Diceros bicornis minor: one gene and its partners. The protein of the gene in region 1 purifies or fractionates together with the protein of each later gene. This does not show direct contact. Links are inferred from orthologs where the notes say so. Each region holds a gene or a part of one and is shown in the gene's direction. Other genes may lie near its edges. The genes, in order: FKBP5, CHUK, AKT1 and IKBKG.

What was found.
Region 2: the proteins of FKBP5 (region 1) and CHUK purify together in Homo sapiens (co-immunoprecipitation; 4 studies listed by BioGRID and IntAct, with this or other methods). This does not show direct contact. The link is inferred for Diceros bicornis minor from reciprocal best matches to the Homo sapiens genes FKBP5 and CHUK.
Region 3: the proteins of FKBP5 (region 1) and AKT1 purify together in Homo sapiens (affinity purification with western blotting; 3 studies listed by BioGRID, with this or other methods). This does not show direct contact. The link is inferred for Diceros bicornis minor from reciprocal best matches to the Homo sapiens genes FKBP5 and AKT1.
Region 4: the proteins of FKBP5 (region 1) and IKBKG purify together in Homo sapiens (affinity purification with mass spectrometry; 3 studies listed by BioGRID and IntAct, with this or other methods). This does not show direct contact. The link is inferred for Diceros bicornis minor from reciprocal best matches to the Homo sapiens genes FKBP5 and IKBKG.

What each region holds. Positions count from the first base shown.
Region 1 is NC_080753.1:29,091,541-29,098,669, forward strand, and holds the start of FKBP5 (peptidyl-prolyl cis-trans isomerase FKBP5), read left to right. Parts: upstream 1-4,112; 5' UTR 4,113-4,212; intron 4,213-4,543; exon of another isoform or gene 4,544-4,692; intron 4,693-7,129. UniProt on the Homo sapiens protein: Immunophilin protein with PPIase and co-chaperone activities. Component of unligated steroid receptors heterocomplexes through interaction with heat-shock protein 90 (HSP90).
Region 2 is NC_080745.1:65,541,878-65,549,500, reverse strand, and holds the start of CHUK (inhibitor of nuclear factor kappa-B kinase subunit alpha), read left to right. Parts: upstream 1-4,612; 5' UTR 4,613-4,651; coding exon 4,652-4,756; intron 4,757-7,623. Other genes in the region: CWF19L1 (CWF19-like protein 1), read left to right, coding at 1,675-1,819.
Region 3 is NC_080763.1:49,324,952-49,331,890, reverse strand, and holds the start of AKT1 (RAC-alpha serine/threonine-protein kinase), read left to right. Parts: upstream 1-3,933; 5' UTR 3,934-4,024; intron 4,025-6,740; 5' UTR 6,741-6,826; coding exon 6,827-6,872; intron 6,873-6,939. UniProt on the Homo sapiens protein: AKT1 is one of 3 closely related serine/threonine-protein kinases (AKT1, AKT2 and AKT3) called the AKT kinase, and which regulate many processes including metabolism, proliferation, cell survival, growth and angiogenesis.
Region 4 is NC_080781.1:138,464,909-138,472,538, forward strand, and holds the start of IKBKG (NF-kappa-B essential modulator), read left to right. Parts: upstream 1-4,622; 5' UTR 4,623-5,174; coding exon 5,175-5,177; intron 5,178-7,630. Other genes in the region: G6PD (glucose-6-phosphate 1-dehydrogenase), read right to left, coding at 2,885-3,012, 3,882-3,993. UniProt on the Homo sapiens protein: Regulatory subunit of the IKK core complex which phosphorylates inhibitors of NF-kappa-B thus leading to the dissociation of the inhibitor/NF-kappa-B complex and ultimately the degradation of the inhibitor.

The sequences.
Region 1 (7,129 bases):
AAATAGTTTTACTTCTTCCTTTCAAATCTGGATGCCTTTTAATTTCTATTTCTTGCCTAATTGCCCTGGCTAGAACCTCCAGTACTATATTAAATAGAAGTGGCAAGATTGGACATCCCTGTCTTGTTTCCTGGGGAAAGTATCCATTCTTTTATCATTAAGTATGATACTAGTTGTGGGTTTTTCTATGAAAAACTATGTGGGTTTCTATGAAACCCACATAGATACTAGATGTGGGGTTTTATCAGGTTGAGGATGGCTGCCTGTTTTTGTAAATAAAGTTTTATTGGAATACAGCTATGTCATTCATTTACGTATCGTCTGTGGCTGCTTTGTGCTATAATGACAGAGTTGAGTAGTTGTGACAGAGACCATATGGCCTGCAAGCCTAAAACATTTACCATCTGGCCCTTTAAGAAAAATTCCGCTGACATCTGTTTTAAACTGCTAACTTTGGGGATAGTTTGCTATGGAGCAATATACAACTAAAACAACTTCCCATCTTCGCCTGGGACCTCAAAGAACTGCAGCATTGAGGAAAGGGGGACCATAAATAAACAGAATCTCCCACAGACTGTAGTCCAGCCTCAAGGCATCTGGGAGGCTCAGAAAACCGAGTCCTGAAATTGGGTTAAGGTGATCCTAGCTTGCTGGTGTCCCCAGACGCCTGCTAAAACAAATGGAAGTCCTTTCCAGAGGAAGATATTATCATCGTTGCCTCAAATGATCTTTCAAATACAACATCCAAAACACAGCCAGATACCTGAGGAGATACAACAACATGAGGAAGAACCAGTAGTAAAAACTGACAACGGAAGTGGACCCACAGGGACTGCAGATTGGAATTAACAGACACAGACTGTAAAACAACTATACTTACTATGGAGAGAAAAGCCAAGCTTGAAAATTATAGCAAGGCACTAAGAGATATAAGAAGGGAAGGGACACAGAATGTCTGAAAAAGAACCAAATAGAAATTCTAGAACTAAAAAAAAAAAAAAAAAAAAGAATAACCAAATTTAAGAGCTCCATGGATGCGTTTAAGAGGAACATTTTTTTTTTCCAGTGAGGAAGACTGGCTCTGAGTTAACATCTGTTGCCAATCTTCCTCATTTTGCTTGAGGAAAATTGTCACTGAGCTAACGTTTGTGCCAATCTTCCTCTATTTTGTATGTGGGATGCCACCACAGCATGGCTTGTGAGCAGTGTGTAGGTCTGCACCTGGGACCCTAACCCACGAACCCCAGGCCACCAAAGTGTAGTGTGCAAACTTAACCACTATGCCATCCGGCCAGCCCCAAGAGGAGAATTTTTTAAAAAGCTGAAGAGAGAATTAGTGAACTGAAAAATAGTTGGACTAAACTTTTAGAATGAAGCATGGAAGGACAAAAGATAGAAAATAAAGAAGAAAGAGATGTAGTGAGGAAGTCTAATACGTGTTTCAATTGATGGCCCAGAAGGAAAGAGGAAAAGGTACAGAAACAGTATTTGAACATATAATGGTTGAGAATTTTTAAAAATTGATGAAAAACTATTCAAAAGGTGATAGGCAGCCATGAAATGACATATATCCCTCCACTATGTGTTCTGACTCTTATTAAAACAGTACATCCTTCATGTACAAATCTGCTTGTGAAAGGATTCTGAAACCAACACAGAGGTAGCTCCATAGTGGATGGAATAGGGCTTGGGTAGGCTGAGTTCAAGTACAAGCTCTGCTACTTTCTAGCTGGGCCACCGGGAGAAGGGTGCCAAACCTCAGTTTTCTCAGCTAATAAATGGAACTAGTAATACTGACCTACCCCACATTGCCACTGTGAGAACCAAATGACAAGATGAACGTGAACAAATCTAGTGAATGCCAACTGCTTTAGAATGAGATATGGTTTGAGCAGAATCACAAGCATTCCCAGGGGCAACTAACAGCAACAGGGAGGACTGGCTACCTAATTTGCAGGTCCCAACACACAGTGGAAATTCAGAGCCCCTCACTGAAAAATTTTTAAGAATTTCAAGATGGTGACAGCAGAGCATTAAACCAAGCACAGGTCACATGCCCATGAAGCCAGCTTTGGTAACAGGCCCTGCCAAGAACTGCTCTGTGCATTAGGAAAGGGCTGCTCATCCCACACCCAGGTGTCTGCAGCCAGAGCCCACGTTATCTTTGAGTTCTGAAGGGCAGCAATGTTTAGGGAAAATGCAAGCACACGTGTTTCCAAATGCCAAGGAGGGCAAGTGAGTGACCGGAGTGGTTTTCTGAGATAGTGGGTGGGGCCAGCCAGGCTGCCATCGGAACTGTGGAACTGACTGTTCCCCACAGACTCTGGCCTAGAAAAAAAAGCCTGCAGCTGTATCTACAGGGCCTGTTGTTGTTTGCCGCGGTGTGTTACAACACAGCCTGGCAGCCTCCCGGGCCTTTCTGTCTTCCTCCTGGGAGAGCCTGGTCTCAGAGCATGTGACATGGCCACATGGCCCTGCAGATTTGCCCACACTGCTCCTCACTGTTCCCTCAGTTACTAGGCTTTTCCAGGTCTGCATGCTTTTTGCTCATGCTTATCCCTCCCTGCCCAGGAGCCCCTTTCCTCCCTCTTCCACATCCCTCTGTCTGGCAAACACCATCTTTTAAGAGTCCATCTTGTAAGACTTAGCTCTAGTGTCACCGCTTCAATAAAGCCTTCCCTGCCTCTCTCAGGAAGAGCCGATTCCTCCCTCTGTGGAGCCCTCCACTATGCCCTCTGCAGACATCTGTCACAGTCCTTGTAACATGAGGAGCACTGACATGTAATGTGGATGTCACTGTCTCTCAGGCGTCAAGGGCTGGGATAATTTCTGCTCACCTCTGTATTCTCTTCACATAGCACAATGCTTAATACTTGCTGTTATTAAGCATAGTAGATGCTTAATCAATTGGTGTTGGTATGCAGAGGCGTTTTAGTCATCTTTCTGAATTAACGCATACATAAGTGGTTTGAGCGACTCTCCCTGGCAGCTGGTAAAAAGGAAAGCTTCTAGGCCCTGAGACAGGGCTCTTGCCCTTGAGGAGGTTTCAGTGTTGGCTCTAGTTGTCTCTTCTGCAGACCCTACCTCTTGAAGGCAGGACTGTTGATTTGTAGAAGAGACTCTTCACCGTAATATAGTGCAGAGAGTAGATTTGGAGCTAGGAAATGCGGCTTGTCATCTGGCTATGAGACATTAGGTTTCCATAGGTAACTATTAAGTCCCATAGCTAACGGACTACAGGCTTCTGTTTCCTCAAAAACGAGGGGATTGAGCTAGGTATTCCCTAAGGCCCAGGTGCAGCTAGTTCAGTCCCCTTATCTGAATCTCTATGGGAGCGATTCAAAGGTGGCCATCTGGTTGGAGAGGCCTGTGCCCCTCTTGAAGCTGAGTTTGCTCAGCAGGCGACCTTTTAGGGGACGGGGGCAGAGAACACACATTTTTCAAGGTCCTCTGCCGTCCCAATCGCCTGGAATCTCATGTTTGAAAGGTAAAAAGCCACGGGAAAGCATATTCTTCCCAGGCTCCCAGTGTCCAGAGAGAAGTGCTCTGTGCTAAATCGGTTCTGAGATGGGATTTTCCCCAGTTTCGACTGGGCATCTTTGACTTCCTGGGGTTGTTTCCTGGGGTTAACCTGGCCTGTTTACCTGACACAAACAGCCAAGCCTGCCCCTCTCCATCCTCCTGGCAGGCGGCTGGACCGATAGGAGGTCAGAGCTTTCAGAGAGACGATTCAGATGTGAAGTCAACTAGCTTGTTTAGGTGTTCGTTTCTCTAGAGGTAAGGGCCGGTGTGAGGGGGTGCCGGTCGCTTTCCTCCACCCCTCCACTCCGGCCTCCACAAAGGGCGACGGCCAGACACGTGGGCTGGTGCGGAGAGGCGGAGGTTACACTAAGGCGGAGGTGCAAATGGACGGGGGCGGGACCTCATTTGCATGGACGGCGCGCGGCCACCAATCCGGACAGGCAGAGCGGCAGCCCGCGCGCCTTTTGGGGGCGGACTGACAGCCCCGGGGCCCTATGGAAGGCGGGTCCTGCGGCCGGCGGGGGCGGGCCGGCGCCGGGCGCTGCCCGGGGGATTCGGGCCGGCTCTTGGGCGCTGCCAGTCTCGGGCGGCGGCGTCCGGCGCGCGGGCGGCCTGCTGGGCGGGCTGAGGGGCGAGCGGCGTGCGAGTGAGGCGGAGAGAGACGGAGACGACGGGCGAGCGCGGCGGCAGGTACCGGCGCCATGGCCGCAGGGATGGGGCGGGCGACCGCGGCGCCCCGGGAGCCGAATTCCCTCCGTCGCGGTCCGGCCGCCTCCCCGCTCCCTCACGCGGCTCCCCGGCCCGGGAGCGGCGCGCGCGGCCGGCGGAGCCTCGAGGCCGGCGCGCCGGAGGCCCCCAGCCCCAACGCGGGGCAGGCGCGGGGCCGGGGCTCCTCCGGGAGCCGCTCCCGCCCCGCCGCGTTCCCCTCGGGGAGGCGAGGCCGGGCCCGCCCGCCCGTCCTCACCCGGCTTTTGTTTCCCGCCCGGGGTGACAGGTCCCGGCCCGACTCGCCCGAGGCGGGAGCCGGCGGCGGGACCCGCGGAGAGCTGGGCGGCGCGTGAGCAGCAGCCGGCGCGGGCGGGAGAGCAACTTCGCCTTCCGGGGCCCGGGCGGCGGGCGCAGCGAGCGGGGCGCGATGGAGCCGCGCTCACCTGGCGGGGCCTGTGCAGGGTGAGGATCTCGAAGGGTCCCGCGGCCGGCGCCTCGGCTTTCGCTTTGCGCTCCCCGGGCGGCGGGGGTGGATGCGCGCGGCCCGCCTTCACCTGCCGCCCTGGGACGAGTGAGTGGGAACAGCATCCCGCTCTCGGCCGCTCTTGGAGGGTGCCGGGGCAGCGCTCTTCTGACAGGTGATACTCTAGAGCCAGGTGAAAGCCAGTGAAAAGTTGTTTCAGGGCTCCTTGTCCATTTCCCTCCTGGGGCGTTCTGACGCCTCATTGAGTCTAAAAAGGTGTTCTGGCGACTGTAGAGGCGTCAAACCCAGTATCGATGAAAAACCATTTGGGGGGTCAGCGTGTGGGTTGCCTTCTTTCGATGCACGAGCCAGGGGGAATCTTGTAGTCTCGTTTAAAAACTCGGGTTCTGCAGTGGTGGCGAAAGCCTGGGAAGGTACAAGTTGTAAATGGAGAATGCAGAAGTCTAGATATCCTCAGTGTGGTTCAGGACAGAGTGTACAGCGTTTGGCCGCCATTCAGTAAATTCTGCATGAAGCAGTTTGAGCTCGTGGTTTTGGATTTACTTTTCAGGAGTATGTTTTCCAGTGGAATAAGGCTTAGCATTGAATGGGAGCTTTCTTTGCCTCTGGGAGGGTAGACAGGAGTGTTTATTTTCATTGTCTTCTCATTTTGTTAGATTGTGGACGAGGGAAAAGTGAAGGCATATTTTGGTTAAGTATTTTTGTAGTCTGTGGGAGTTCTGCCGAGCTCCCCCACCAAGAGTTCTTACTTTAGAGAATTATAGTGGCTTTTTCTCTTGGTGTTCCAATCAAAATTCAAGGATAGCCTTGAAGAACTTCTTATTCTTGGGGGAAATTTTTATTTGTCATACTTTCACTTATTTTCTGTCTCCCAACTGACCTCCGCTTAACAATCTACAATTATGGCCTTGACCACTTTAGGCCCTGACCAGTTTATCAATATGTTTTTTAAAAATATTTTTTAAATGAGGGTTAATAAGAGTCATCATTTGTGAGAAACACTTGATTTAGCTTACTCGTTTTTTTTCCTATTATGTGTCTCGTTGGATATCTGTATTGGGTATGATTTATACTTGAGATGTTAAGTTTAACTTCTTAAGAACAAAGTTGTAATTTTGATCTAAATGCTACTTTATTAATATTTCATTGAATGGTAATTTTACTTATTTACCTAGCTAATTAGTAACACTATTTAAAGGTGAACTCTTTAACCAATAGGCTAGTTGTGACTATTTGAGATTTAAAAAAAATAGAGATGGTCTTTATAAAATGTTTTATTTCTCTAAAACAACAGGCCTGTATGTTATGAGTTCTTTGTCTTTCTAACTTTTAACAAAACAAGTATGTTTCTGAATCTTTTTTTCAGTTATGGGAATTTTGGGTTAATTTATTTTTTAAAACATAATTTTAACCAGTTCAACATGAAAAACTTAAAATATTGGATTCGGCAGCTAGTTAAATCTTCAATTTTCAGTTTATTCTTGGATTGGAAAAGAATGCATATTATAGGCTAGTTTCCTAAAATGTTTCTTAGTTTAGAACAAATTAGTCTAGAGAAGAAAGAACATCCTCTTTCTATAGCTGTAGAAGAGGTTATTGCTATTAAAAAGCTGTATTGGCTTTTTGATGCTTAGTGAGGGTAGATTGGTTGAACAGTGACTCGTCCTCATGTAGAATGGGTTTATTCTATATAAATAGTTGTAAGCAATCTTATAAGAGTGGGGCTCTCATTGTTTTGGATGATTTATATAATTGCACTTTAAAGTGTATAGGAATATATTAGTTTAGCTACTGTGTGTAATTAGACGTTTTATAATCTTTATCCTATGATAATGCTTAAATATACTACATATCATAAATTAAAGTTATATTTCATAGTTTTATTTGCACAAAAGCATGTTTTAGGAGCTTTAACTATAAAAGTGCCTTTTAATTAAAAGCCCGTTTTCAAATTCAATTTTTAGATATTTTAATTACTAATTTTTTGTCCACTTTAATTTGTGGTAGACCATATCATAAAATTATCAACCACATTTCAGTTTCAAAATTAAGCATAAGTTGAATTCTTCTACACAATAAACAATGGGAGCGTTTTTAAGTCAGTTACTCTCAGGCGTGGCTCCTTTTGAGTTTGAGGATGGGCAAATATTTTTGAATGAATAAAGCCACAAAAAACAAGGACCTATGTTAAAACAGCCAAATTTGAGAATAAATCAAATGACACTGTTAGACATTAATAATACTTTATAACAGTAATATGCATGTTATACCTGGCATTAAGAATATCCTCTATAAGCCTTTACTATAATTTTTCACAATTCCTAAAGAAGAATCTATGTTGTACATATTTTGGCACACTTAATTTTGTAATTATTTAATGCTGAACAATTAAATATGTACATTTCTAATGCTGAA
Region 2 (7,623 bases), on another chromosome or scaffold:
TCCTATAGTGGACAGCATGGCTCTAGAGGGGTTAGGTAGTTTGTCCATGGTCACAAAGTAGTAGGTTCAAACCCAGGCCTGTTGGATCCCAAAACGTGAAGTCTTAACCTCGTTATTCTGCAGTATCCTAAAGGTCTGGATAAGGCTTCATTTCTGCTCTTCATATCAGGCAGAACATGACTACGAAACCATACAGAGAGTGGTATAAATTAGGCAAAGACTGAAGACAGGAAGTTACTAGCAAAAAGAGATAATAGTGTGGAGGAGAGTTAAAAATGGGCAGAACAGATTATATGATGCTGTGTCTGTGATTTGCAGCTGTTTTTTTCCCCAGTTAGAACTGAGCTTTGAAGCAACCTTGAACCCTTCTTCAACTAATTTGGAAAGCCTCCCAAGAGATTGCCACCATTGGATAAGTCCAGTTGTCTACATTTTCAAAAAGATAATTGATAAATGAGAACAAGTGTATTAGGAGCTTCAAAAATCTGACATTATCTTTTTGTTGTTGCCTCAGCAATAGGTGCAGATGTGGACAGTGATGACGTAGGCACATGATCGCAGATACACACTGGCACATAAGCCCACAAAAGAGAGATTCTCTGAATGATTTTGTGCTCAACATTGAGTATTTTTTAAAATACTAATTTATAGTTATACAGTATTTTATAGTTAACAAAATACTTAAAAAGTATTTTTTGAAATACTTGAAAAGACATTTTTTCCCCACTGTACAAGAAAGGGGGTTCTATCTTCATTTTATGGATGAAGAAGTAGGCTCAAGTTTTGCCCAGTGAGCTAGAACTTGAGCTCAGGTGCTGTGACTTTTAGAAGACTCGTGTGTTTTGTTTTCAACTTTTCCATTTATTGTAGCTTCAAAGTGGAAAATGAACCATGTAGATGTGCAGATAGAGTTATTTTTAATATATCAAAATAAGTACAAATAAATAAAAATATAAAGCAGTGGCAATTAGAAGGTAGCTTGCATGTATGTGTCTGTCTCTGTGTCTGTATGTAGTTATTCTTTAGTTCTGAGAGCCAAGATAAGTTGTTTTGTTGACACTGAGCTTGTGTTGTTATGCCTATGTAGGCCTGAGTCTCCTAGAAGGAGAGGTAGAAGAATTTTAAGTCAGAGTGGCGCCTGACTGTGTACCATGACCTCAGCAAACCCATGGTCTAGTTGGTGACAAAGCTCCATTTTAAGGCAGGATGTAATCACAGCTAGTTTGGTGCTTTGATTGTGTTATCTGTATACCTCACAAAACCTTATTTTGCATTTCATAGGTAAGGAAATCAAGATTTGGAGGTGGAGTAATCTGTTCAAGTCATAGACAGCACGTGGCAGAGCTAGGGATGGAATTCGGTCTCTGATCTTTCTGACACCAGGGTCTGCCCTCTGGCCTCTACTATGCCGTGTTACTTCCCTGAGTACCAATAAGTTCTGAGTTGTTCAAGAGAGAGCGAGAAAATTGGGTTTGAGGGGTTAGGAAAGAGATAGGACCTGAGCTGGTCAAATGGGTATGATTTTGGCAGAGATGGCACTCAGGGCAAGAGAATGGTATGAGCAAAGTCAGAGGAATTTGCATACCTTCTTGGGGTGATGGCAGGAGAGGAATGGGTGGGAGGGGATTTTGGGCTGATACTGTCCATTTTGACTTCTTTGTGTTCTTTCTGCAGGGAGGTCTTGGCCAGTGAAGCCATCCTTAATATTCCTGACAAGTCTGACTGGAGGCAGTGTCAGATCAGCAAGGAAGAGGAGGAGACCCTGGCTCGCTGCTTCCGGAAAGACTTTGAGCCCTTTGACTTCACTCTGGATGACTAAGCAAAGGGCAAAACACTTTATGAACTTGACAGGAAACAGTAGCAGTCTGTTTTTTTAAGAAACTGCAGTCTCCCATGGGGACTGTTTCCCTGCCTCTTTTTTGTGCATTCCCATGGAAGCTGCCTGCAGCAAGAAGCCTCAGATTGAATATTTTTTTGGAAAAAATCACATTCTAGGATGATAATCCTATGTCTGTCATCCAGCTCCAAGTACAGCTTGTGTTTATCAACATTTTCAAAAACATTTAAACTATCAAATAAAATCCAAATGCTTTTCCCTGGGTGGGGAAAGTATCTTGTGTTCATGTTACCTGTAACCATTGAAATGAAATAGTATGTGTGTGTAAAAGGAGGGGCGGGGCCTTAGGCCCAGCTGTTATCCCAGGATCTCACAGGTGGCTTCTCCTTGAGCAAGGTGCAGCTGGAGCACCCCAAGGCCTTTGCCGTTTTTCTCTTATAGCATTCATCTTATTTATATAAAAGAGCTCATTCAGTCCTTCAGCAAATACTTAACTCTCCTATATGCCAGGCATTTTTCTAGGCTCTAGGAGTATAGCCATGTTCCAACATGGTCCCTGTTGTCCCAGAGTTTGCAGTTTAATTGAGAAGAGAAGGGGCAGATTTAAGAAAAGATGAGTTCTGCTCTGGATATGTTGAGTTTTCGTGTGCTGTTAGATAGTTCTAAACACATGGAGATCTGGGTTGGTGATAGGGCTTTAGGGATCATCAGGGTATAGGCCATAGGTGAGATTATGAGAATGGATGAAAACAAGGGTGAATACAGTCCTAAGCTGAAGATGACTACCTGAGAAATATCAGTATTTAAGCAGTGCTTGGAAATAGAATGATCCATCAAGTACATGAAGGACTGGAGAGAAAGCTCACAGGAGAATGCCGTATCTTAGAAGCCAAAAGAAAGAGATTTGCTGCTATATAATGGGCACTTATGACACAGACACTTTTTCACTTAATCCTCACAAAACGTTTATGAGGTAGGTATTACCTCCATTTTACACATGAAAAAACCAAGAATGGCAAACTTGAAGATCGTTGAGCCTGAGGTCAACTGGCCCTGGATTTTTAAAAAAAAAAGCTACACAGTGACCTTGAGTATGGGGATGTCTAAAGAGTGAACTAGGGGAAACAACCCACTTCCTGCAAGGACAGCTACTTCAGCATCAGCCCAATCATCAGTATCCTCAAGTCCTCAGCATCCTTCCCTAGCTCTTCCAAGTGAGAATTAGATTTCAGCCCCACCTGTGGAGATCAGACATGCTCCATTGCTAGCTATGCTGTACATCTAACAAACAAGAGGGCTTCATACTATTAGGACAATCTGCACCACAATCTGTGCAGTATGCCCAGCTTTAAGGGACATGTTCTTAGACTATTTGCCATCACCTCAAAGTCTGATACTCCAACTCCATGGCTACCAAGCACCTATGTGAAATCAGAATCTCTGATACTGAGCACACATTACTGACAACCTACAACATGACTTGGTTTGTATGATGCAGTGCTCTACATTCTGGTTGAACTGTTCAGGGATTCTGGTGACAGCAGACACATTTGCTTTGCCAAAGGCTGATTCAGTGCTTTCAAAGCAGTTAGCTTTGATGGCGTGCTGTGGTGTACGTGCCATATCCACCTTCAGACATCTGAGCATGTTACATCTGTCATGGCACAACCATGTGTCACAAAACGTTGGTTGGAATTCTAAGTACTGAGTTAACAGGCCAGGCTGTGCAAATGATAGTCCAAGTGCACATGATCTCAAAGGAGGCTCAAATGACTGTGCTTATGGCAGCTGACACATTTCATCAGAGATTTTGATTCTAGCTGATTGTTACACCTGGAGCGATTGATGAAATCCCCAAGTTCCATGTAGCGTCTGACACTCAAAGCGAAAAGCAGAAAAGCGGGAGCTGGTTTCTCTAGGCTAGGGCAATCTGGCACTCAGAAGCACTTCTTGTTGCAGCAACAGTATTTCCCAAGCTTGCCTCTGTAGCCCTGTATCACGCATCAGAAACAATCCCCACAATGAATAACTACCGCACCGGCAAACCCCATAACTGGAGGACTATTTGACCGCAAGCTCCGTGAGGAATTTAGGGAGAAACTCCCGAAGTCAGGAGGAACATTCTTTACTCTGGAACAGCGTCACATCCTTGAGTCATTTGGTTACATACAGGTGAGATCCTGGAACAGGTGTATAGGAAGTCAAGCAAAAGAAGAGCTGAGCCTGACTCGTCTATGCAAGATGATTAATCATTAAGGGAAAAAAAAGTGAACTATGAAAGCTAATGCATCAGTGGGCCTGTTAGCGCAGGATTCTTTCTAGTTCTTCGCATTCCTCAATATTTAAATCATTGGTGGCCTTTGCCAGTGCCAGCTCAGCGGGTGATGAGGTTGGAGGATAGACGGCAGAAGTCTGAAAGGTGAAGTGTAGGTAGGGGTGGGGACGATGTAAAGTCTAGAAAAGACGAATACTGGAGAGACTGGTTTGGAAAGTGATTTGAAGGGAATGTAGGGTCTGGAGAGATCTTATATTCTTGAAGACCAGAAAAACACATGAGGGAACAGGGCTGGTTCTCTCAGCCAGGAAAATGCACAGGGGACTTAGAGAGCGGGCAGAAAACGCCACTCTCCTCACACGATTCTCTCACCTGCAGGGCTCCTGCGGCGCCCCTGGAGAACTTGGGGCGGGCTTTTCCTCCAGCAGTTACCGGAAGTGACGCATACATCTCGCGAGAAGACAGACGCGGGAGCTGTGGCGGCCCGGAACCGGCCTGGGAACGGTGGCGAAGCTTGAGGCCGCTTGCCCTCCCGCCCCATGGAGCGGCCCCCGGGGCTGCGGCCGGGCGCGGGCGGGCCCTGGGAGATGCGGGAGCGGCTGGGCACCGGTGGCTTCGGGAACGTCTGCCTATACCAGCATCGGGTGAGGCGGGGCGCGCGAGGGAGCGGCCGTGGGTGTTTGTCAGAGCGTCTGTGGAACACAGTGATTGTCAGTATGTGAGAGATTGTCGGGGAGATCTTGGGCAGTATTGTGGGCCACTGTGTGTGTGTGTGAGAGAGAGAGAGACAGACAGACGGATTGTGCTTGTGAGCCTGGTGACTGAGTCCGAGGTTGTATCTGAGGTCTGGGTCAGTGTGTTTGAGATAGAGCTGTTAGGGGGAGCTCTTGGTATGAGTGTCAAGGTGTGACGAAGTGTTTACTGAGTGTGACATTACGTATGTCACTCTCTGAATATGGAGAGTGTCAGGGAGTGTGAGGCAGATGCACATCAGAGTGTGTATGTGTGAGCACGAATGGGTGAAGAGGGGGGGCTGCCTGTTGCAATGTGTGTGTGTGCTTGGAGGTCGTATTATCAGTAGGGGCTGGGGTAGACAAGGAAGGTTTTACGGTGAGTCCACAGCTAAGCTTTTGGAAGCACTGGGTGGGCTTTGGAGTTGGCGATGCGTTCCAGGTAGGGAACAGCATGAGGATCAGCTGGTGACAATGATAATGATTTCACAAGGAAAGAAGATAGATCGGGGTGAGGTGCTCTAATCAGTGAAGACACCTAACATCAGACTCCGGAATTTTGCTTTGATTTAATTGAGAACATTTAACCATTGTTAAAGCAGCAGTTAATAATCATATTTGAGCTCTGTGTCTTTTGATATACCAATAAAAGCTGTGAACCCTTTCCCCATAAAAATGCACAGATGCACATCCTCACAACCTTATGCATTGTCATTTGAGGGGGTTCATGCTCTCTTGAAGGACTTTCACAGACCTTTTAGATGTATAGACCTTGGACTAATAATCCCTGCAGTATAGTCTTTGTTTTGTCATCTGTAAAATGGTTATATTAATGTGATTAATATACATCTTGGGTCTGTTCGGGAATTAAATAACATAATAATGTATGTAAAGCTAAGAACAGTAGCTTGCCCATGGTAAGCCCTCAAATGTTAGCTCCTGCTACTGCTGTATTGTTGCTGTTATCATCTTCTTCATCATTAATTGGGCTTAAAAAAGGAAACAAGATAAAAGTAGTGTTCTAGGAAGATTTTTTGTAAAAGATAAATCCAAATGGAAAAACATATGGGACAAAATGAGCAGTTTAAGATATTACTAAAGTGTTTGCAATTGGCCTGTGAATGGAGAAATGAATTCAAGAGGGAAAAACATCATTTGCTGACTTAAGGAATATGGGTGTGGGTAGAGAGACCATAATATAGGGTGGGAGGTAGGGGATATGGCAGTCTACCTGGGAGGAATAGGTATGTTTGGCAGTTACAAAGACGAATATCACTGAAGAAATTTTGTGAAACAGGTTTCTAGATAGAGCATAGGAGGAAATTTTGGAGAGAGGGGGAATGGAAGGTGAAGGACTAAGGCATTAAGTACTTTGACAGGCAGACAAGTAGTAAATTTAATAATTCTCACCATCAGAGAGGATGTAAGGCACTCAAAGAGAAAAGAGAGGGAGCCAAGTAGTTGTAGCGGAATGTTGCCTGTGGTCTTGTTATCTAAGCCTGCCCATCAGCCTGGTCATAAGAAAAAAAGTATGCATGCTGGCATGCTTTTGTGACTGCTTTTCTTGGCCTCTGGCTGGAGATGGATGAATACATCACTTTTTTGTTAAATGTGGTAAAGTATATATATCATAAAATTTACCATTTTAACCATTTTTAAGTGTATAGTCTGTGGCATTTAAGTACATTCACATTGTTTTGCAACCATCACCACCATCCATTTCCAGAACTTTTTCATCTTCCCAAACTGACGGTCTGTACCCATTAAACAATAACTTTTCATTTCCTCCTCCCCCAGCCTCTGGCAACCACTGTTCTACTTTCTGTCTCTGTGGAATTCATCATTTTTTAAATGGAAGAGATTTGGGTTCCTCTAGAATCTTAGAAATCTCTCAGGAACTTTCCAGTTGTCGAGTGGCCCTTCCTCCAAACTGGGACATTTGACAACTGAGCCTGTAGTGAGAAGAGAAGAAATACTCTGTTATAAGGCTTGGGAACAGCATCATTCCTTTTCCAAGCCTGACTTAGGGTTTGCATTTACAGCTTTCAAGCTCTTTGTGTTTTGATGGAAGCCACGTCCCAGTGTTTCATTTACGCTTCTTAAAGCACAATGAGGAAGAGAAAAGGACGTGAGCTGGTTTATTTAGCTGATTACTGTGCTGGGTGCTGATAGTGCCCAAATCAACAAAAACAGTATTTTCTGGCCTTAAGGCGATTTCAAGTGTAGTGGGTGAGGGAGACACAGAAGCACTTTAAGTACAGTGTGATAACCTGTATAACCAAGTTATTTGTAAAGTGACATGGAAGAATGGCAAAATAACCAAAGAAGTCTTCCTAGGGAACAGGGTAGCACTTCTCAAAGTGTGTTTGGAAAAACAAATCCCATGAAATGCTTTGATAAAAGGATACTATGGTCAAATACATTGGGTAAATGCTGCATATAATATTTCTTCATTTGGAGATTCATAACCCATGTAGCATATTAAAAGCCCTGAGAAGTCCTGTAGTAAAGAAATTAACTTAGTATTTTCCAATTTTTAAAATTGTGGTAAAATACACGTAACTTAACATTTACCGTTTTAACCATTTTTAAGGGTACAGTTCTGTGGTGTTGGGTACATTCACATTGTTGTGCGACCATCACCACTGTCCATCTCCAGAATATTATCATTTTTTTAAACATAGAACTCTTTTTTTTTTGGCCAGACATGTATAAACTTTCCATGGAACATTCTTTTTGAAAAGGTAGAGTAAGGAAGGCCTTCACAGAGTAGGTGAAAT
Region 3 (6,939 bases), on another chromosome or scaffold:
CTGTGAGATGGGGGGTCGCCACCCAGGAATCCTGTTCAAGCCTGGTGGGTTGGGGGCCTGAGGAGCGGCCAGAGGGCCTGGGGCCCACCACAGTCTGTGTGGGAAGGAAAGCCACATTCTTACACTAAAAAATTATGCCTTGTTTATCTGAAGTTCAAATTTGACTGTGTCCTGTATTTTTATTTCCTAAATCCGGCAACTTCAATGTGGAACTCTGGACTCACGCTGCACTGAGCCACTGAGACGGCCCTGGCTCCATTGCCCTTCACCTCGGGGACCCTTCTGAGGAGGGTCAACCCCCTCCCTCCACCCCCTCACCCAGCCCACAGCAGGAGGAGCTGACTTCCAGTCCAGTCAGAGGGAACCCAGATGGAACTGCCTGTGGCTTCTCGCCTGTGTAGAGTCCTGCCCCTGCCCCCTCCCGACCTCAGGCGTGACCCTTAGCCTCTTCGAACCTTAATATCCTCATCTGCAGAAAGGCAGATTCAGGGCAGGGCCTGGCTCACAGCAGGACCTCAGGCTCCTCCTCTGAAGGCCTTCCCTGGCTCCTCCATTCCTGTCTCTGTTCCAGCAGCACCCCAAGAGTGGTCTTTCCTGACCACCCCACCGAGGTCCCCCCAAGCCCACGTTCTCCTCTCCTCGTCCTTCTCCAGAGCACTCCCCGTGCCGTGTGACTGTGCTCTCTCTCGGCTCCCCCGATGTATTCTCGGGGCTAAGAAGCTGTCGGGGCACAAAGTGGGGTTCAGGAAAGGTCTCTTGAGTGAATGCATGGCGGTGGCTTCCGTGAGGGATGTTCCCTAGGTGCTGCCATCTGAATTCTGACTGCTCTGTGGTGCCACAATGCCCAGTGTGGCCTCCCCAGGCCCGGCCTTGAGCATGCGGAGGCAGGGAGGGGAGGCTGGCCTTGCTGGGGCTCTGGACGGACAGCTCCCCACACAGGCCGCAGGCCGGGAGGAGGCCCCCGGGGTGGGCAGAGTGCCCTGGCCTGCCCTGCCTGGCTGGTGGGACGAAGTGCTCCTTGGGGGCCAGACAGAGGCTGAAGCAAATTAGGACGCTGCCTGTAAGAGCCTGGGGTTGGGCCTGGGAGGCCGGCCCAGGTAGGGATGGGCTAGAGGAGGGACGTCACTCGGGGAGGGGAGAGTGGGAGAGAGGCCCCTGAGTCTCTCAGGTCGGAAGGTCTGAGTAGGTCCCCCTGTCCTGATACCCCCCACCCTGAGGAGGGGCTGTCTCAGGCAGCCCGGAGATGGTACTCAGGAGCCGGCCGCCCCTTGGCCCTTGGATCCTCTCTCCGGCCCTGTGCAGTCCCAGTCACAGGGATGACAGGAGGTTGTCGCAGTGGTGCGGGCAGAGGCTTCCCAGACGCAGCTGGCCAGGCGGCCATCTGGCCTGGGAGCTGCCCCCAGGCCCCGCCCTGCAGCTGCTGCTGAGACTAGGCAGCCCGGGCACCGGCCCACCAGTCCTGCTAGAAGGCTGGCAGCTGCAGAAGGTGACAGGCCCGGAGGCTCTTGTGCTCTGGGAGGGGCAGGCGGCCACCCTCCTCAGGGGCAGTGTAGCAATTTTTGTTGGAAACATCTGGCCAAGGGGCATCTCAGCGGCCCCAGCAGCGGCCAGCATGGGCTGGCAAGCTTGGTCCTCTCCTTGCCATTCTGTCTGGGGGTTGGGAAGGGGGTGTTCTTGAGGAGAGGGGCTCTGCTTTCCCTGCCGGAGGCCAGAGGCGGAGGGGGCTAGCCCTGCCTTCAGGGATACCCCAGTCACAGGGCAGGGGCATGCCAAGGTGCAGACAGGACTGGGCACTGCATGGAATGGGGTGTGGGGCACACAGCAGGTCACGCACAGTGGGGGCTGGCCCAGAGCGCCGTGCAGAACAGGCAGGGAGACCTCCTGGAGACGGGCCTGGAGGTTTGGGACCACTGCGATGCAGCCTCCCAGCCAAGATGCGGTTCCTCAAATGGCCAGCAGGCCCCAGAGCACCTGGGGAGCTGCCACATGTTCCACAAGACGGCGCCCTCCCGGCCCCTCAGTGGCCACTGGCTGCCACCCTGCCGGGTTCTCCTCTGGTCCTCCACCTCCTCCATAGCACTGTCAGTTCAGGATGGGGGGTGGGCACGGAAACCCTTCCTGGGAGAGCAGTGGGTAGGTGGGATGGTCCCAGGGGGCCCCAGGGGGAAGGTGTGCAGGGTGAGCGATGGACAGACATTGGACATCAGGGGCTGACCCTCAGGTCAGGCATCTGGCCCCAGCGGCACGGTCGGGGCCTCTCACTGGGCCCCCTGGAGGCACGGCCCTGCCTGGAGGTACACAGTCAGAGCTGGGACAGCTGCGCTGCAGTGGGAGGGTGGGGGGCAGCAGTGCCAAGGGGAGAGGCCGGGAACTGGGAGTCCCCTCCTCAAGGAGCCAGTGTCCCCTGAGCAGGAGAGAGTGTCCTTCTCTGAGGAGCGTCCTTCTTCAGGTCAGCCCCAAGAGGCAAGGATGGAGCCCCAGTGTTGGCTGTAGATGCCGTCCTGGACACTCAGCTGGGCTGCACCTGCCTCTGACCCAGATGAAGTGTCCACGCCCCCTCAGGTTGAACTCTGACCCTGGATGAAGAACAAAAATGCCCCCCCCAACACATACCAACCTCAGGAAGGTAACTTACAGGAGTCTTCCTTTCACAAAAGGATAACTATCAACTGGGAGGCCTCAGGGTTGGGGGGAGGGGCAGCTGTTGGAGAAACTAGTGGCTCTAGCCAAGGGCCAGGGCCCAGGGAGGGGTCACGGGTGGGAAGTTGTCTGCAGATCCTGGGGATCTGTAGGAGGAGGGGGTGAAGTCTCTCTGCCTCCCTGGCCCTTAGATGCCTGCCAGTGGACTGTGGGTGCCCAGGGCCCATTTGCACAGCAGGGAGGGTCCTGGCGGCCTCAGCTGGCACAGCCCTTCTCCTGAGTCTGCTCCCCCTCAGCTCCCCCTGCTGTGTGTCTGTGCCCAGCCCCGGTGGGCACCTCAGGCCAGGTGTGCTGCATGAAGCCGGGTGCCACATGCATGCCCCTCCACTGGTCCCTGCAGCCCTCACTGTCACCACGTGAAGTCCCCATCCACTTTTATAGGGCCATATGTCACATCTTTCTGGGGAGGGGAGCTCCTGGAAGACTCCCCGGAGGGATTGAGGGCCCAGCCCAGGGCCAGGCCCATGGCAGGCCTTCAGCACAGAGATGGACGACCGAGTCCCGTAGCCTGCCCTCTCCTGTCCACGGTCCAGCCAGCCTTCCAGGCCCACCTCAGACCTGACTTCGCCCCCCAGCCTCTGGCATGCCCTCAGGGACCAGCACTCTGCGCTCACCTGGCAGGGCCCTTGGGTTGGTCTTTTAGGAGAATCTTGGCTGCTCCCTCCCCCCCACCAGCATGTGGCTACCCACTTGGAGCACCTTCTGAAAGTCAAACTAACCTGCCCCCTCCTATCCCCCCAGTGGAAGCAGAAGCCCAGGATTCGGCCCAGATCGGCCCTTTTAATAGGGTCGTGGCAGAACTGGGCCGAGAAGCGCAGGCTCCCTGGACAAACCGGGCAACTGAGGCCAGAGGGGACGTGGTCTGGGCCCGGCCCCAGCGGCGGGCAGTGGCCCGGCTCCGTTAGCGGGCCCGGCCCCGGCCCCGGCCCCGAGAGCCGCCCGCCGCGCGCTCCCGGCGCCGCGCCCTCGCCCCGGCCCGCGGTGGGGGCGCCCGGGGCGGCGGAGGCGGATGTGGGCGGGCGGCCGGGCGGGGCGGGCGCGGGGCGGGGAGAGGGCGGGCCGGCGGCGGCGGCACCGAGCGCGGCGGGCGGGCGGGCGGCCGGCCCAGCGCAGCCAGCGCAGCCAGCGCAGCCGGAGGACGCGAGCCGGCGGCCGCGCGCAGCACCGGCCCCGAGGCGCGCGAGGCCCGCCGAGCAGCCCGCCGCCGCCGCCTCCAGCCCGGCCCCGCCCGCCCGGCCCGGCCCGGCCCGCGGGGATGCGGAGCGGCGGGCGCCGGAGGCCGCGGCCCGGCTAGGCCCGCGCTCGCGCCCGGACGCGGCGCCCGGTGAGTCCCCGCCCGCCGCCGCCGCCGCCGGGGCCCGGATTTCCTCCCCGCGCCCGGCCGCTTTGTTCCCGGCCGGCGGGGCCGGGGCGCGGGCCGCGCGCAGCCGGAATGAGGAGCGGGAGCAGGAAGTGGCCGAGCGCGGCCTGGGCGGGGAGGGCGCGGGCCGGGCCGGCGCCGGGGGTGCGGGCCGCCGGCCCCGGCTCCCTCATGACCTTGGGGAAGCGGCTCCGCCGGGCGAGGCCTGGGCTGGGGCGGAGGGGCGCGGCCCGGCGCCGGGGGCCGCGAGCTGGGGCGCCCCTGCTGCCCGGGGCTCCCCGGGCGCCTGGCCAGCGCGGCCGCGGCGCCCAGTAGGCGCCCAGGGTCCTTAGGAAAAGGCTCGCCCCAGCCCTCCTTGAAGTTTGTGGGTGGGCCCTGGGAAGGAGACCTCATTTTCCCATGGCCAGAAAGTTGTACATGGTGGCGAGGTGCCCAGGCCAGCCCACAAAGGACTGCTCACCCTCCTGGGCCCCCAAACTGCTTCCTGACCTGGGAGGGCCGTGGAGGTGCTGCCTAGCCATCCCGGAGCTGGGGCCCGGAGGGCGGCGGGGCCTGCCCCCCGGAGTGGGGGGTCCAGGGCAGGTTTGCCGGCGGGCCGGACTGTTCCCAATTACTGCCATGGTGGACAGAGTGGGGGGCGTGGGCTGTGCTCTGTGGCCAGAGGGCCCCCTACATTCCCTCCTGCCGCCCCGCCTTGCTCCAGGCCCCTCCTTGCTGTTCTTGAGCCCTTCATCCAAGTGAAGGGCGGGTTGTTTTGATGGGGGCTTGATTCCCTGCCCCCGAGCTGACCATACAGTTCACAAGTCAGTGTTTTTGGGGGGGGGGGACCCTTTCACAGCACAGATTGTTTTTTTCACAAGTTGTGGCTTAAATAATAATAGCAGTCGTACATGTTGATGGTAAAGGCACTCACAGTACAGAAGTAGCGGGAAACAGAGGTCCCCTCCATCCCGCCGGCCCTGTGCCCAGAGGTGGCCCAGGCACTGGGCTGGTGTGTACATTTCTGTGCAGACGTACACCACCCTATGTGTGTGCACAGATATATTTTTACACACGGGGCTCTCAACAGCTGTCTGACTCGGTCAGCAGCAGGCCCTGCTCAGACCGGGGTGGGGGTGGGGGGATGTCCAGAGGTCTTTGAGTCCAGCCCCCTGCCCCCAGGCCACGCCCACTCAAGTATCACCAGAGCCCCCTGTCCCCGGGGCTCAGAGCCCTCTCCTCTGCGGTATCTTCGGGGCTCACTTGCTGCCCATCGCTGCCCCTGGGCGTGCTGAGCATGTCAGCCACTTTCTTCTTTGGGCCAAGTGTGTCTTCCCTGTCCTGGCACCAGACGCAAGGCAGTGGGGTCTTCTGCCCTTCTAAAGTCAGCCTAAGAGTGCAAAGCGGCCCTCTGGGTGCCCAGCCCCTGCCTCAGGAGGCCAGTAAGGAGGGCTTCAGGAGGGTGTCTAGGCGGCTGTAGAAAGACCCAGGTTGGGATCCATTCTAGAGGTCCTCAGGGGTCTCTGCCTGGCCTGGATGTCCCAGAGAGGAGTCTCTTTGGGCCTGCCCTTAGGAGTGCCCGTCTGGAGGGGTAGCAGAGGACTGCTCATGGGAAGAAGGCTTTTTCCCAGGATGCCCAGAATGGGTAATGTGGGAACTGGGTTTTGAGGGATGCCTAGGAGTTCGTACAGCAGGGGAGCAATGGGGAGGGCTGTGCAGGATCAATGGCCAAAGTGTCTGCTCAGGTGAGGGCTGGCTGGTGGGCCACTGCAGGGTGGGTGCCAGTACCACTGCGCTGCTGCAGTGCCACCCCCCATTTTTGGCCTCGTGAATGCTGTAATTATGGGTCTGTAACCACCCTGGACTGGGTGCTCCTTACAGACAGGACCCGTCTGAGCCTCTCTTTGTCCCCCGCGCCCAGCCCTGAGCCTGGCAAAACCAGAGATGCCCGGTACGTGTTGGCCGATGAATGAACCAGATTCAGACCGGCAGGGGCGCTGTGGTTTAGGAGGGGCCTGGGGTTTCTTAGGGGAGGGGTTTCGTGTCCCCCTGGAGGGCTCTGGCTCTCATCTGCGCCAGCTGCCTGCGCTGCTGGCCCTGCCTTCTTTGTGTTTGAATTTCTCTCCTTTCCCAGTCTGGGGCAGGGAGGAGGAGCCAGGGCCCTGCCCCAGGAACCCCAGCCCGTGGGTGGGAGTACCACAGACAGAGAAAACAGGGGCACCCTCTCCAGGGACTTGGGGATGCTGAGGGGCGTGGGCCGAAGCAGTCAGAGGGGCTGCCTGGAGGAGGCGGCTGCTGCTGTGCTGGCAGGTTAGGGAGGCTGGGATCTGCTGGGAGGGCCTCTTGGGGATGGGAGTGTATAAAGTCCAGGGGAGGTGGGAATGGGGGAGGTGGGGGGGGGCAGTGAGCTCTGAGGGCCTGGGGGTCCAGGAGGGGTGATGGCAGGGGCCTTGATGCCCAGGTCGAGGAGAGGCCCTGGCCCAGGGAGCAGTTTGAGTAACGGGAACTTCATGTCAAGTGCCATGGCGGGAAGAAGGCGATGGGACGGCTGTGCTCTGAAGGCTAAGAGGTGGGCAGGCCAAGGGGGAAGGGAGACCCAGGCTGAGACCCCGGGTACGATGGGCCTCCTGGGCTGCCTGCAGGGCCAGAGGAGCGGCCTCCAGCCGGACACAGCCTCACACACTTCCTTTGCTTCTTCCAGAGGCACGGGCTGGGCTCGGGGAGACCCTGCTGAGAGAGGAGCGGGAGTGAGACCTGGGCCGCCCGGCCAGCCGGAGCCCGGGCACCATGAACGACGTGGCCATCGTGAAGGAGGGCTGGCTGCACAAACGAGGTGAGTGGCCGCGGGGCTGGGCCTGGGGTGGGGGCCCCGGAGCCGGCCAGCATGCCACCCTCAGGTG
Region 4 (7,630 bases), on another chromosome or scaffold:
TGGCTCCCGGCCACTGGACCGAGAGAACCTAGGGTCTGCTGAGGTAGGCTCGGGTGTAAAACCAAGAAAAGGGCCTCCCTCCTACACCCTGGGGCTTACGAATCACCAGGCCTTTGGGGGAGTGCCAATGTCATCATGACACAGCAAGAATCTTATCAGCCCAAGGGGGAAGGCAGCCCAGAAACGTCCGGAGGAGAGGGAGGGCCTGAGCACCCATCGAGCCCATAGCCCTTGTGGCCCAAGTGGGGAGACTGAAGCCCAGAGAGGCGAGGGGCTCACTGCGGACCCTGCAGGGAGTCAATCCTGCCCAGTGGACTCCCAGTCCTGGTCTCTCTTTCTCTCACTCCTATTCCTCTCTCCACTCCCTGAGGTGGGGAGAATCGCTGAGCCCGCTGGTCGAGTCCTATCAGATGGGGGAGGACATGATCTGCCAGGCCCAAGGTTCCTCCCCCCATGCTGGTCTGTAAGGAGAAACCGGTTTCCTTCATTCCAAGGCTTTCTGGACTAGGATAGTAAGTACCTCCACTCCCTTCCTGGCTGGGGGTGGGAGTCCTAAGGAGGGCGGAAGTGGCCACATAGCAGGGGGAACAGAGAGCAGCTCAAAGCCCATTGGGTAACTCTGTGAGCCAGCATCAGGAGGCCCTGAGGAAGGAAGCTGGGCGTGCCGCTGAGGGTTGGGTAAGTGGAAGAGGAGGAGGAAGGGGCAGAGAATGGCCACGTGGGCCCAGCCTGCCCCACTTGGGGCTCTGTGTCTGCTCTTCCCTTTGTGTGGTGTGCTCCCCGCCGGCCTTGGCTCTGCAGGCCTCTCTGCAGGCCCTCTTCATGAGACCTGTGTGCTGGGGGGCTGGGGACACAGGATCCTGTCTGCGTCTTCTGTCACATGCTCCACTCTGAACTCTTCTTAGGCTAACTCACCTTAGGTCCTGGCCCCCACCACAGAGGCCCCAAGAAGAGGGCAGGGCCCATGCTCGCTGTGCTGCAGGGGAGGCACTTGGTCAGCATTTGTTGGATGGAGGAAGAGAGACCTCACTGGTCTCCCATAGCAGCAGGTTCTGGTAGAGTGCGCCCCCAGCACTACTCTGCCCACCTCCTACCCAGACGAAGGAGACAGTGAGGCAGTGGAGGCCAGACTGTGGGAGCTGTTCTAGGTGCTGCCTGAGCGTGGGCGGCCCACCCTCTCCAGCCCCCTGGAGTAGAAGGGAAAAACAAACAAGGAGGCTCTTCTTCAGAGAACCCTTGCTCTCCCCCACTCGACCCTGCTGGAGCAGCACTTCCCATTTCTGCTCTGGAAGCCTCCGGTTGTCACTCCAGAGCAAAGGAGAGCAAAGGGAAACCCTACTCATTGCAAAGAAACAAAGTTGCCCAACCCCAAGCTGGCCACAGGCAAAGGCAGTGAGGACTCACAGAATCAGCTTGGTAGAGCCCGAGGACCTTCGGCACTTGTTTCAAAAGCCCTGGTTTGCTATGGAAACACTGAGGTTCAGAGAAGGGAAGACACTTGCCCTAGGTCACACAGCAAGCTTGGATGCTCTCAATGGGGCACTTAAGAGTTGAGGGCCTGGAGTCACACGCCATTTCTTGCGGCCTGGCATGCTCTGTAGGAGCATCCTGTGATAGGCTGGCATGGAGACGAGGGAAGGAGGAAAAATAATCCTGAGTTACTTTCTCTACCAACCTATTTCTTGGACAAAGGACCTAATGGTCAGAGTCCTAGGTGTTAAGGTCTGTGGCCAACAGAGGTATGGCTCCTCCAAGGGGATGCGGCTGAGGCCAGGGTAGAGGCCAAGCGTGTCCCCTGTCTGCTCCTCCTGGGTACAGGGCATCAGAAGACACTGCTTGGGGCAGCCCTCCCTTCCCTCCTACTGGCAGAGTCCTTCTACCCTGTACTGCCTCCTGCTCTGCATTCTGGCTCTCCTTTTCCAAGTCTGGATCAGAATCCCAAAGTTTCCAGGGAGTAGACTCTGCAAAGGGTGGTGGCAGGTTATGATATATGAACAAAGAACCAAGTTCCTCCAGAGCTGAAGGGACTGTGCTGTGGTAGGCACAGAGAGATAAGACCTGCCCTGTCAAGAACTCTCTAACTTTGGTGGAACTCTTGCTCAAGATTACACAGTAAGTTACTGGCAGAGGTGATTATACAATGGTTAGCAGGTTCTTGGTCATGTCCAGGGTTAAAAGTGAGAAGAAACCACTTTTCTTCAAGATGAAACCCTGGCAGCTCATCTCAGCAGCCCCTGCACATGTCTGGCCACCTGGCAAATCTCGTTTCCACACGGTACGCCGGGAAGTGCTTTAGTCTGAGGGTCATGGCTTGACTAGGACCCACTCTCCCTCTCCTGTGCCCACTTGCCATCACAAACCGTCACTGTGCTTCTACTCTATCAGAGCAAAATGGGGCAAAGAGACAATGCTCAAAGAAAGGTCGAGTGTTTGTCCCCAGGGAACTTGATGTGGTAGAGAAAGACAAGGTGGAGATCGGGCCTCAGAACCTGCCTCTGGAACTAACTCACTGTGTGACATCTGTCAAGTCACAAACAGGTTTGAGAAAAACACTCACAGAATGACTAGGCTCCCTGTTTGCATTTCAGTGTTCTCCGTGGAGAAGGACTTCCGGGCTCCAGGACAGTCAATGGCTGTCCTATTAATGTATATAGTCAATGGCTGTGCGTGGACTTCGGAAATGCCTCCTAACGTGTATATACCGTATGGTGCTGGGATGATAGTGGCACACAGGCAGGAGCAAGACGGAGAGCCCAACCAAGCAGAGCCCACGTGGCCCAACAACAGTCAGTTGGGAAAGCCCAGGCATTGAGCAGGAAGGGACCTTAAGCAATGTCATGCTCTAAGTGTGGGTTTTAAGATGATGGTCCTCGGGGAGACTCACCGATGCACCCATGATGATGAAGATATGTGTATCGGACTGATGGAAGGCATCACCTTGGTACAGCTCTTCCCGCAGGATCCCGCACACCTGGGTCCGGCTCAGGGCCACCTGTTCTGCCATGATGCTCTCTGGTGGAAGAAAGGCTCATTGACAAGGCACAAGAACATCAGAGCATTGAGAAGATAGCCCCTTTCTCGAGGAGTCGTTTGGGCTCTCACCCAGCTGACGCCTGATTATTGAAACCACTCGCTGTGAATGGCCAGGGAGCAGGATGGTTGGGAAGTAAGAAACTGCTGGCTCTGGGCTTCAGCCATACTCCCCAAGCAGCCTTCTTTCACGGTGTACAATACAAAATTGCCCAAAGCCCTAGTGGATTCCAGCTAGAGCCTCAATTCTGAGGGACCAAGCAAAACCCTGCTGGACATCGCATGACCTGCCTAGGTCCATCGCACCCCGGACTCAGGCAGAAACTCCACAATGAGCTGGAGCATGTTAGACCGTGCAGATGATGGAGTGCAGCTCCAGCTCTCTTTCTGCCAGGCTGAGACCCTGGCAAGTCCTCTCGAGATCTCAGTCTCCTCAGGGTTCCAACGGCAGGGATGCAGGGGGGGCAGTGGGATCGGTTAAGGCCGTCTCGGTTTTGCCCCCGCTCCCAAGCATGGCAAATCAAAGGGCCTAAGGTGCCGCACATCCCTCCCTCCGCCGGCGCGGCGCCCGCCCACTCCCTTACCTGCACCTTACCGCCGCCGCCCGTCGCACTCGCAGCCCCGGAGTTTCAGCCGTTTCCGGGGGCTGTGCCCCGCCGGCCCACTTAATCAGCGGGGGCGGGCGCCTGGTCTCAGCCGACCCGCCTCAGGCGAGGCGCGCGGGCGGTGCCCCCACAGGCCCCTCCCTCCAGGGGCGGGGCCCGGTGAGGGAGCAGGCAAGTGCGCGCGCATCCCAGGCTGGCCCCCGCGCGAGGCCCCCCCGCCCTTGGCTCGCCCCGCCTCTTGGGCACCTGCACCGGCCGCCCGGCCGCGGGCCGCCTGCTGTACCCGCCGCCGCTGAGCCGCGTCCCGGATGCGTCGCGGTTCCGCGTGCAGCTCCGCGCCGTTCGCCCGAGTCCCCATCACCGGCTCGGCTCAGCCCCGCCCCTACAGGCCGGCTTTCTCGCAGGCCCCAGGCGGCCCTACACCCTCGCGGAAGGCTCCACTTCCGCTGGCAGCGTGGCCACGCCTCCTTGACCCAGGCTATAGGCGGGGCCATCTGAGCCCCGCCCTCTCACCGGACGGTCGCCCGCTCGGTCAGACCGGCCCTGTTGGGCAGCCTCGTCGTGGCTCCTCCCCTTGCGGGGCCGAGGCAGCCGAGCACGCGGAGGCTGGATGCTGTAGACCGAGGGACAAGGGGCAGTGTGGGTCGTGACGCCCCGAAAAGTAGCAGGTGGTGGATATCACTGGGGAGCCTCCTGCAGGCCGACCGAGACTGGTGGGCTCGGGCTTCCCTCTGGAGCAGCCTCCCTAGTACTTCTCGCGGGCCTCCTGGGCGGGGGCGGGGCTTCCCTGTTTTACTTCCGGATCCCACAGTACGACACCGGAAGCAGGAAGTGGGGATTTCGGCAGCGGGAGGAGGGAAAGGCGACCGCGGAACTGGGACTTTCTCGGAGGGACGGGGCCCGAGGAGCGCTCGTGGCCTGTCGCTTCTGTCCATCTCACGTCGGACCGATTCTGCTGACAGGTGTGGTCCTCTTCCCCGAAGGCAGGGTACCATCACTGGGCGTTCCACCGCCTCTGAGACTCTCCCGGACGTCCAGGCTTTTCTCTCCTTTTGGGCCCCCGCCCATTTCTGCCACCCGCATCTAGAGCACCGGCCAAGGCGGGGCGATGCAGGATCAGGTTTCTTTGGCGGTGAGCAGGACTGTTCCTGCCTCTCCCTCCACCGCCGCTGTGGAGTCTGATCACACCCCTATTTCGTGGGTGACTCTTCTAGTTCGAAGATATTTTCTGTTCATCAAACTTGACTGTATTTGAGGTTGTTAAGTTCTTTAGAAAGACCTCAAATATAGTTTGGCAGCTAAGTATCTTACCTCATGTGCCTCAGTTTGCTCACTTTGCAAAACGATTAATGTCTACCGAATCTCATACCATTTCTGTGATTTGAGGATGAATGGGCCGTCGTGGCACATTGGAGGAAAAGCTGGAGCAGAGTGAGCAAGGGGAGAATACTTGGAGAGGAAGCAGTGGGGGACCAGATGGTGCAGGGCCTTGTAGGCCGTCAAAGAGACTGGCTTTTACATGGAGGACAATGAGGAACCATGGTATGGATCTGAGTAGAGGAGGGACGTGATCGTAATTACTTTTTAGGCTTATTGTTCTGGCCTCGGTGGGGAGAACAGACTGTAGTAGGCAAGGATAGGAGCAGGGTGATCTGTTAAGAGGTTATTGCAGTAATCCAGGTGAGAGTTGATGGTGCTTTGAGCATTTTATTATGAAAATTTACAAAGATGCACAAAAGTAGAAAGACTAGTATGGTAAATCCCGTGGAACCACCTCCGGGCTTCAACAGTTACCAACTCATGGCTAATTTTAATTTATATCCCTCACAATTGTCTCCCATTATTCTTTTCAATAACAATTTTATTGAGATATAATTCACATACCACACAATTCACCCATTTAAAGTGTACAATTCACTGGTTTTTAGTGTATTCACGGAGTTGTGCAACCATCACTACTAATTCCAGAACATTTTCATCACTCTAAAAAGAAACTCCGTACCCTGTGGCTATCACCCACATCACCCTGTCTCCCCCAGCTCTAAGCATCCACTAATCTTTCTGTCTCTATAGATAATTTTCCTATTCTGGACATTTCATATAAATGGAATTACACACTGTGTGGTCTTTTGTGAATTGTTTCTCTCTGCAATGTTTGTCCATGTGAATGTAGTAGATTTTGTTTATTCCTCAGTTGATGGACATTTGGGTTGTTTCCACTCTTTGGCTGTTATGAGTAACGCTGCTGTGAGCATTCATGTGTAGACATGTGTTTTCATTTCTTTTGCATAGATACCTAGGAGTTCCCCCATTATTTTGAAGTGAATTTCAGACACCACCTGACAGTGTTTCAGTATGCATCTCTAAGAAAATATTTAAAAAATCATAGCTAAAATACCACTCTCACACCTGAAATAGTTAACATTAATTGTTTAGTGTCATCAAATAGATTCTGGGATACATTTTAACATTTTTTTTAAACTTTATTTTTCCCCCCAAATCCCCAGTAGATAGTTGCATGTCATAGCTGCATATCCTTCTAGTTGCTGCATGTGGGACTCGGCCTCAGCATGGCCGGAGAAGCGGTGCGTTGGTGCGCCGCCGGGATCTGAACCTGGGCTGCCAGCAGCCCAGCAGCGGAGTGCACGCACTTAACCGCTAAGCCATGGGGCTGGCCCCTGGGATACATTTTGACAGGATTTCCTGATGGATTAGATGTGAGCTGAGAGAGAGAGGGAGAGAGGGAGAGAGGGAGAGAGGGAGAGGGGGATGGACGGAGGGAGGGAGGGAGGAGTCAAGAAGGACTCCGAGGTTTTTGTCCTGATAACTGGAGGATGGATTGGCCACCAGCTGACAGTAAGGTAGGCTGTGGGTGGTCCTGGCTTTGGGGGACTCGCAGGAGTGCAGTGTTGAAAAGGTTAGTTTTAAGAGGACTACTAGATGCCCAGGTGGAGATGTTGAGTCTGATACGTGAGTCTGGAGTCCAGGAAACAGGTCTAATTTTAGGGCATCAAGAGCATTAGAATGGGGGTTAAAGCTGTGAGGCTGGATGGAATTAGTCCTGGAGTGACTGTAGTTAGAGAAGAGATCCCAGAACAGAGCCCTGGAGCACCACAACGTGAAGGGATGTGTTGATGAGGAGGATCCACTGCAGGAGCAGCCAGTGAAGTAGGAGGAAAACCAGGAGAGTGGGCTGTTCTGTAAGCTGAGGGAGGGGTCAGTGGTTGGTTAAATACTGCTGATGGGTTAGTGGGGTGTTGAGGATCAGTGTCATAGTCAAACGTCCAAGTTTATTCAGTGTTCAAAGTCTCCTTCCTCAGCTCAGGCCTGCTCCTGGAAACTTGTATTTGGATTGTCCACCTCCTCCAGGTAGTCAGTCTTCTTGGGCAGGATTTAAAAGGGCTCTAGGCTGGTGCTGTCCCACGTGGGCTGCCTCTATTCTAGTTCAGAAGAGAACGCAAACAGCCTGTCTCTCTGCTCTGCTGTCTTAGTCTGCGAGGCCAGCTCTCACTTTCAGATTACTTAGCACATGTCAGATACTAGATGTCCCCTTCGGCCCCCCAGTTCCAGGGAACACTGATCAGATTCTGCGTGGTCTCTTCAAAGCCCCTCTGACTAGATCTATTAATTTCTTAGGGCTGCTGTAAGAGATGACCACAAGCTGGGGGCTTAAAACAATAGAAATTTCTCCTTTCCCAGTGCTTGAGGCCAGAAGTTTGAAATCAAGGTGTTGGCAGAGCTGTGCTCCCTCTGGAGGCTCTAAGGGAGGACCCTTCCTGCCTCTTCCAGCTTCTGGGGGCCCCAGGTGTTCCTCGGCTTGTGGCCACATCCCTCCAGTATCTGCCTCTGTTTTCACGTGGCCTTCTCCTCTGTGTCTGGATCTCCTCTTCCATCTCTTATGAGGACACTTGTCATTGCATTTAGGGCCCACCCTACTCCAGGATGATCTCATCTCAAGATCCTCATTTAATTACATCTCCAAAGACCGTTTATCC